2 linked regions of the Danio rerio genome follow. The protein of the gene in region 1 purifies or fractionates together with the protein of each later gene. This does not show direct contact. Links are inferred from orthologs where the notes say so. Each region holds a gene or a part of one and is shown in the gene's direction. Other genes may lie near its edges.

Evidence for each region. Proteins that work in one complex are often made in the same cells at the same time.
Region 2: the proteins of foxj1b (region 1) and tbc1d32 purify together in Homo sapiens (affinity purification with mass spectrometry; 3 studies listed by BioGRID and IntAct, counting the BioPlex papers as one, with this or other methods). This does not show direct contact. The link is inferred for Danio rerio from reciprocal best matches to the Homo sapiens genes FOXJ1 and TBC1D32.

What each region holds. Positions count from the first base shown.
Region 1 is NC_133187.1:21,834,294-21,838,678, forward strand, and holds the start of foxj1b (forkhead box protein J1-B), read left to right. Parts: upstream 1-1,514; 5' UTR 1,515-1,939; coding exon 1,940-2,491; intron 2,492-4,385. UniProt on the Homo sapiens protein: Transcription factor specifically required for the formation of motile cilia. Acts by activating transcription of genes that mediate assembly of motile cilia, such as CFAP157.
Region 2 is NC_133195.1:44,126,862-44,130,183, forward strand, and holds part of tbc1d32 (protein broad-minded), read left to right. Parts: coding exon 1-178; intron 179-3,322.

The sequences.
Region 1 (4,385 bases):
CCTGCTCATCTGTGTAAATCCATATTCTAATAGCTGGGTCGTTCCTTGTAGTTGGTACTTTCTAAACTCTTATAAAAGAAATTTTTGTATGTGAAAAGTAGGCAAAATATTTTGGAATAGTTTATACTATTGTTCAGATAGTTCAAAATAGTTTAAAGAGGACCAAATATGCTTAAATAGGGCTATTAAATGCTGTTATTTAAGATGAATTCAAATAAAGGTTGTTGATCAATTTTAAGGCAATGATATCGTGATCTTATGGCAAAAAATAGGTACAGAATAAAAGAAAAACATGCAAAGAATAATTTCTGATAATACCATATAGAATTTTCCATTGAGAAAGTACATAGATTGACGTTTGGAGTAATGCTATTAATTATTATTATTTATTTTTGATCAACGAAATATCTTATTTCTAACTATTTGATTGATTGATAGATTATGGCTAGCGTAGGGATTTTGTTCAGCCAGTGGGTGGCAGTGTATTCTCTGTTTTGGAAAATCCTCATTCTCTCTGACAAAACTTCGGTAGTTTCTGAAAATCCAGTAAAGCTATTATTTACCCAAAGTACACCAAGCCTCCGAGAAAACGGCTACATGTTTGACAATGTGGTGTGTAAGCTAATGCTTTGACTGTAAGGAGAGGGTCATAGAGGTCTCCTGCGGCGGGATGATTGGCGCGCTCTTGTAAAAGCGCGTCACTGTTTTCATTCTTGCGCGCTTCTTTCATTCTTGGCGCGGGCGCAAAGTTTATTATCAACGACTTTTAACGACTTACTCGAGGAATGTGCACTCTTAAAAATATATTTTCTTTAAACCCTGCCACTCCACAGAACGTTTTTATAGTGGAAAATGAATGCCCTTTAAGAACAAAAGGGTTTTTTTTGGGAACCAAAGAATGATATTCTAAAACATCACTGCAAAAAAAATAAAAATAAAATAAATAATAATAATAATAAAAACAATTTTTTGGAACCCTCTTTTAAGAATGTAGCAAATTTCATTTTACAATGTATGCCTATTTAGTGTAATTCTAAGGCAAATAATCATAATAATAAATAAATCGCAAATCCTCGAATGTGATGCATTTTAATCAAGAAAACTTTGTTAATTTAAGAGTTGAAAAACAACATTTAATTATTCAACACTATAATTGCACCAAAATAAGCACCTGTAACATCTTCATCTGATAAAACGAGTTTCAAGCTGTGGTCCGGTTTGGGACCCCTTGATGACCGCATTTGAGGCATTGATAAGAGGTTCATTGTAACGTTTGTAGACAAAAGCATTGCAACAAATGCAAAATATATATTTTTAAAATATATATATATTTAATAAAAAGCTATAAATAAAAAAACAAAACAACAAAAGATCTGTGGCATGTAAAAGCCTGAAACCCCCAGAATGCGCTCATTGCGCAGGGACAATGACATGTTCTACTCTGGAGCTCTCAGCCAATCAGAGAGCGTCAACATTTAAAGGGCTATTAAGAAACGGGCAAAACGGCGGAGTACGGAGCCCGCATCTCATTTCTCTTCTGTTGTTCACTGCTTACGAGTTACGACACAATAACTGCTTCCATTGGACTTTCTTAAAGACGAGATTGGAATGCTACTTTTTTCCAGCAGACATCAGGACATGTGTGATTGTGTGGACGCGCTCCGTTATCCGCTGCACTTGTTGCTCTGAGAAGAACAGGCTGAATCTAACGGACTGAAGAGACATACACCGCTACCGCTCAAACATACGAGTTATTCGGCGTGTTTTCATTTCGCAGGTAGGCGGTTTGTTTAGGAGATCAACTCTGTGGTGGATTATTTATAATCATACGCTTATATTAAAATAGTTAGCTACTTTATTTTATTAGCCGTTATTTTCGAATATTCAAGCGTGTCTGTCTGTCGTTCACAGATCTGCTCCTTCCAAACTCGCGATCAAGATGCCGGTGTTAATGAGTCCTGAAATAGCGAATAAATTCAAAGAGAAATGGCTGATGCTTCATCCGGAGGATCAGGATAATGTCAGCGGCTCTGTGCACTTTGACGACAGTCTCACTAGTCTGCACTGGCTGCAGAACTTCTCCATCCTCAGTGCCAACCCCGAGAGGACTCCCAGCTCCGGCTGCCACCCGCAACATCTCTTTTACTACAAAAACCAGCTGGGGGGTACCGACTCGCCCTCCAGTCCACCTGCCGGAGATACCGCCGCCACAGGGATGCCACAGACACCTGGGAATCCCACAACGTCCTGCAGCAGTTTGGCCAATCCATACGCGCTTCAGCAAGCCGGACACTACATAACGGGTCAAACAAACCCGGCTGAGGAGATAGACTATAAAACAAACCGCCACGTGAAGCCACCCTATTCATATGCCACTCTGATTTGCATGGCAATGCAAGCCAGCAACAAGACCAAAATCACCCTGTCAGCCATATACAGCTGGATCACCGAAAACTTCTGCTACTACAGATACGCAGAGCCGAGCTGGCAGGTAAATTCAGTTTATTTGTTTCTCTGAGGATCATTTAGAGGGGTTCTTTCTTTATCTATTAATTGTCATGTGTACCATGTTTCAAAGACATTTTTGAACATATGCAGCAGGTGCAACGACCTGATATAGGGTTATTTTTAACGACTCTTTAACGGTTCCATTAACGACCCTTATTACTTATTTTGGAAATAAATACATGCAGACAGTTCTCTTCGAATTCACTGCCTGTAGCGTGTTTTTTCTGAATTATAAGATCATTTAAGTTAATAGAGATGAGCAGTAAAAAGAGCATTCATCTTAAAACAAAAAAGTGTTTACCAATAAACACTTTTGGAAATAATTATAATTTCTGTTCATTACTAGGTAATTTAGTAATCCAATAAACCGTTAGGACAAAATCATTAATCATTAATTCATTAATTGTAATCAAAATCATTAATTTCAAGGTCTGATTCATTAGGAGAACCGATTCAAAAGAGTCATTAATTTAAGCATCAGTCATTAATTAACGAATCTCTTCGGATTTTGCAGCTTTGCTAATGCGTGTTTACAGTTCTCATTACAAAGTGCCAAAGTCTTTTGATTGGTATAATTGGACTATATATATATATATATATATATATATATATATATATATATATATATATATATATATATATATATATATATATATATATGTGTGTGTGTGTGTGTGTGTGTCTGTGTGTCTGTGTGTGTGTGTGTGTGTGTAACTATGAATATTTTGATTCACTAAAGAGGATTCGATTCATTATAGTTAATTAGATTAATAATAGTTAATCGTTTGGTAATGACACTTCTTATGTCACGCAGTTTATTTCTACATCACTATAATGAATCGATTCATGAGAGTGAATCGTTAGGTGATCGGACTGCCTTTGTCAGATTGTATATTTCTGTTTTGTCAAAACAAATCGATTCATGCTGGTAAAAGCTGACTCAAGAATGTTACTTTTGTCATGCTGTATATTTCACATTTTCCTTCAAAAAAGGATCTATTGATTATGTTTGGTACTTGAATTTTTTATCACACTGTAAAGATTTCTTATTAAATGAAAAGAATTATCGCATATCTTTGTCAAGCCATATATTTCAAATTTACTAAAAAAAATAAAAATAAAAAATAAAAAAAATCATTTCATAGCCTTCCAGTCAAACAACTGTTAAACAGACTGCTCTTGTCATGCTGAATATTTCTAATTCTTTAAAAAGTATCGATTCAAAAGAGTCAATTGTTTAGTACTCTGGTCAATAATCTGACTTCAACTGTATATATATTTATGAAAATATTAAATAAAATAGATTTTTTTTAAAAGTCATTAGTTCTGGAATCAGATTACAGTTGTAGCACTATATTTTTCAGATACTCAATAAAAATAACTTAATTTTAAGAGTCTCCTGCTTTGTTAATCAGATTACTCCTGTCATGCTTTATATTGTACCTAAAAGAATCAATTTCTAAGGATCAATAGTTCTGGAAACAGATTACACTTACATGTTAGCTCTGCATTTTTCTAATACTCACTAAAAATGATCAAATTATAAGAGTCACTTGCTTTAGTAATCAGACCACACTTGTTGCATATTTTCGATTTTATAAAAGAAATCCTAGTCATTTAGTTAGGAATCAAATTAACTGTAGTCTGTCAATACAGAACTACCAAAACATTGAGCCATAGACCAAATAACTGGTGTCAGACCTGTGCACTCATGTGAGATGTGTTAATATACTTAATGTTAAGGCAGGGTGACTGATGATGGAAGCTGAGACCACTATACCCAAGAGCACTGGTTTCCTGAGGCCTTCTGCCCTAATGAGGGATCCTTAAGGGAGCCGCTGATCATGTGAAACTAGAAGTGCTGCATTACTAGAGAG
Region 2 (3,322 bases), on another chromosome or scaffold:
GTGGCTCGGCCAGTGCTTCTGGAACTACCTGGACTGGCCTGAGATCTGTCAGTATGTGACCACCTGCGTCATTATGGGACCCGATTACCAGGTGTACATGTGCGTCTCTGCTCTCCGTCACCTACAGCAGGACATCCTACAGCACACACAGACACAAGACCTCCAGGTCTTCCTCAAGGTGCAGTATAACCTTTTAACTGTGCGTTTACATAAGCCGATTATGCTTTAAAGGATAGAGAAATGAAAATAAAATGACTTACTATTTTCTCACTCTCATGTGGTTCCAAACCTATATGTGTTTCTTTATCAGGTTGTCCACGAGGTCTTAAAAGGTCTTAAATTTTAAAAACAAAATGTCTTAAATTCACCAAAGTATTGTTTTGTTTGTCTTAAATAATTTTTAACAGGTCTCATTATAACAGGTCTCACCCAGTAATCCAACACATCCAATCAACAATAATGCCAAACTTTTTGCAAATCTCTATTTATAACTAAAATTATAACAGTTTGTTGTGCATACATTTAGTTTACTACATTTTTTAAAGAGTTTTTTTTAAGTTTTGTGGAAAAATAGTGTGTATGTAACTTGGGTCTGCTTGTTTTGACACATCATTTAAAATATGTGACTTAGAAATAATTGATTGCAATGACTTTTTGATAGGGCAAGAATTTTATTTTTTTTTTCTTATGGGAAAAAAATCTCTTATGTTTTGCCAGGGGTCTTAAAAAGTCTTAAAATGTCTTATATTTCAAAAACAAAATTTTAGGCCTTTAAAAGCCCTAAATTCACTGAAATATTGTGTTGTATGCCCTCTGTCCAAGTAAAGCTACCCAATCGGGTCAACATCCATCCATTCTCCAACAATCCATCTTAGTAAAATCAGGGAAAGTAAACTAAAAATCAATTACACGGTTGCTTGTGATAATAACAGAGCAATATATGTCTTTACAATATCTTCCATTCATACATTATTTACAGAAGGGGGAGCAGAAATAATATTTATAAATAGGTATGAAACTTAAGGTTTTATTACAGAAACACATTAGGTTGAATAGAAGTTATACTCAATTAATTTGGACCAAAAGCCGCCAAATATATATTTTGATTAGTAATGTAATTGTCTCCACATTAAAAATATTCTTTTAACAATGTTACACTTACCTTTAAAAAAAGAAATAGTGTGTTGACAACTAGTGTATACTTATAAGTGTATACTTACAAAAAGTGTATACAACTAGAGTTTTCTTGTTTTGACACATTTATGTATGTTGCTAAGATTTTTTTTTTTTATTTTATTTTTTTGTGGCAAACCAGGCAATTAGAAATAATTTTTAGCCCTGTATAAGTGTAACATTTTATTTATAATAGCTTTAAAAAGGTCTTAAAAAGTCTTTAAATTGACATGATAAAACATGCAGGAACCCTGTTAGCCCTATATAAGTCTGAAATTTCATTATTGATGGTCTTAAAAAAAGTCTTACAAAGTTTAAAATTTGATTTGGTGAAATCTGCAGAAACCCTGTTTATTTTGTTAAACACAAAATATATTTTGAAGAAAGCTGAAAACTTGTAACTATTGACTTCCTTACTAGGGAAAAACAAATACTATGGAAGTCAATGGTTACAGGTTTCCAGGTTTCTTAAAAAATATCTTTTTTATTTAACAAAAGAATGAAACTCATAAAGGTTCAGGGTGGATAAATGATGATTACATCTGCTATTTTGCATGAATATCCCTTTAATAAGCTGATATGTGTAATGCCATGTAAACGCATTACCCCTATTTATTTTATTATTAAAGGTAAAAGATGGTTAAAATGCTTTTTTTTTTTTTTTTTTTTTTTTTTTTACACAATACCCATTATCGCATTGCATGTAAACAAGTTTATCAGCATTCTAGCAGTTTATTAATGTACTCATGTCTGATTGCACATGCAAGGTACTTGTTGAACACAGATTTCATTTCTATCAATATTCGTGAGTTCTATCAAAATTACCTTCTTCCAAGAGTGTCTACTGCGGACATGTATCCAGTTTAAGCAGGCACTTCTAGACAGGGGCAGCAGTTATATTTCATGCACCGAATAATCGATTAATAAAATTTGCTACATTCACAAATACTGTAAAAAAGTGATAACACACATACAATACAACAGCACAGCTTCTGACAGACTCCCCTCAAAATTTTCGAGCTACTGATGCTGATGTTTGGGCTGTGACATTAGCTTTCAATGAGTGCGTTTACATGGGCATCAATAATCACATTTTAATACGATTAAGACAATACTCTTATTAAGAGTCTACTTTGTAAGCAGTAATTTATTCATTTAAAAAAAAAAATACCTTTATCCGACTAAAGTCATACTCAGACTAAACAGAAATCAGATTAAGACATGTGGAGGAGTATGCCTATTTTAGCTGCATTATTGAAGTGCAGCACAGACATGTAAACACTGCATTCAAACTAATTCCGTCGTTTAAGATTTTTTGCCGCGTTTTGCAAAAGGCCTGTCTATACACACACCTCTGTTTGACACTATTCTCTGCACCTACCGAGTCAATGAAGGACCACAGACACCGGCACCTTGAGGGTTTTTTGCAGAGTTTTTTTCCACCCTAAGGCGTAGAGTATCAAATTCCATTAAAACAACACTCTTCCAGGAGTTCATTGCTACCAATATCTCGTTGGTCTCGGAGGCATGCATGAAATGTTTCTGAATAAAAGTGAAACTGCAGTTAAAGTCGATGAATTAAATATGAAATACCTGAAATTTAATCAAACTTCAGAGGAAATGTGGATAGCGTGTTGACGCAATGACGTTAATCAAATTGAAACATTCAAAAAACAACTCATGTAAACATGTAAAGCACATTATTCTATTATTCAGATTAAGGCAAATAATTTGATTACTGATGGCCATGTAAAGGTAGTCGGTATGAAATCTGGCAAAGCTTAGAATCTCATGGTTTTTGCATAACAGGTTTACTGATTTGCATGCAAACACATAAAAAACTACTTTCTGAAATAATCTAATATTGGATAATTTTGTGCATGTATAAAAAACATTGAGTTATAATTTACTCATCTTCATGTTGTTTTAAAACTGCAACACTGAGAGGAGTTAAGTTGTAATGTTCAGCCTCAAAATGAGTTTAGCTGAATGTTCACATTATTCTTTTCTGTGTGATAAAAGTGAATAGGGATCTGGGACTAGAATGGTCTAAAAAGACAAAACATCATCATAAAAAGCATGTTCCTCAGACTTTCGAAAGACCACAAGGGTGAGCAAATAATGACAGAATATTTATTTTGGGCTGAAC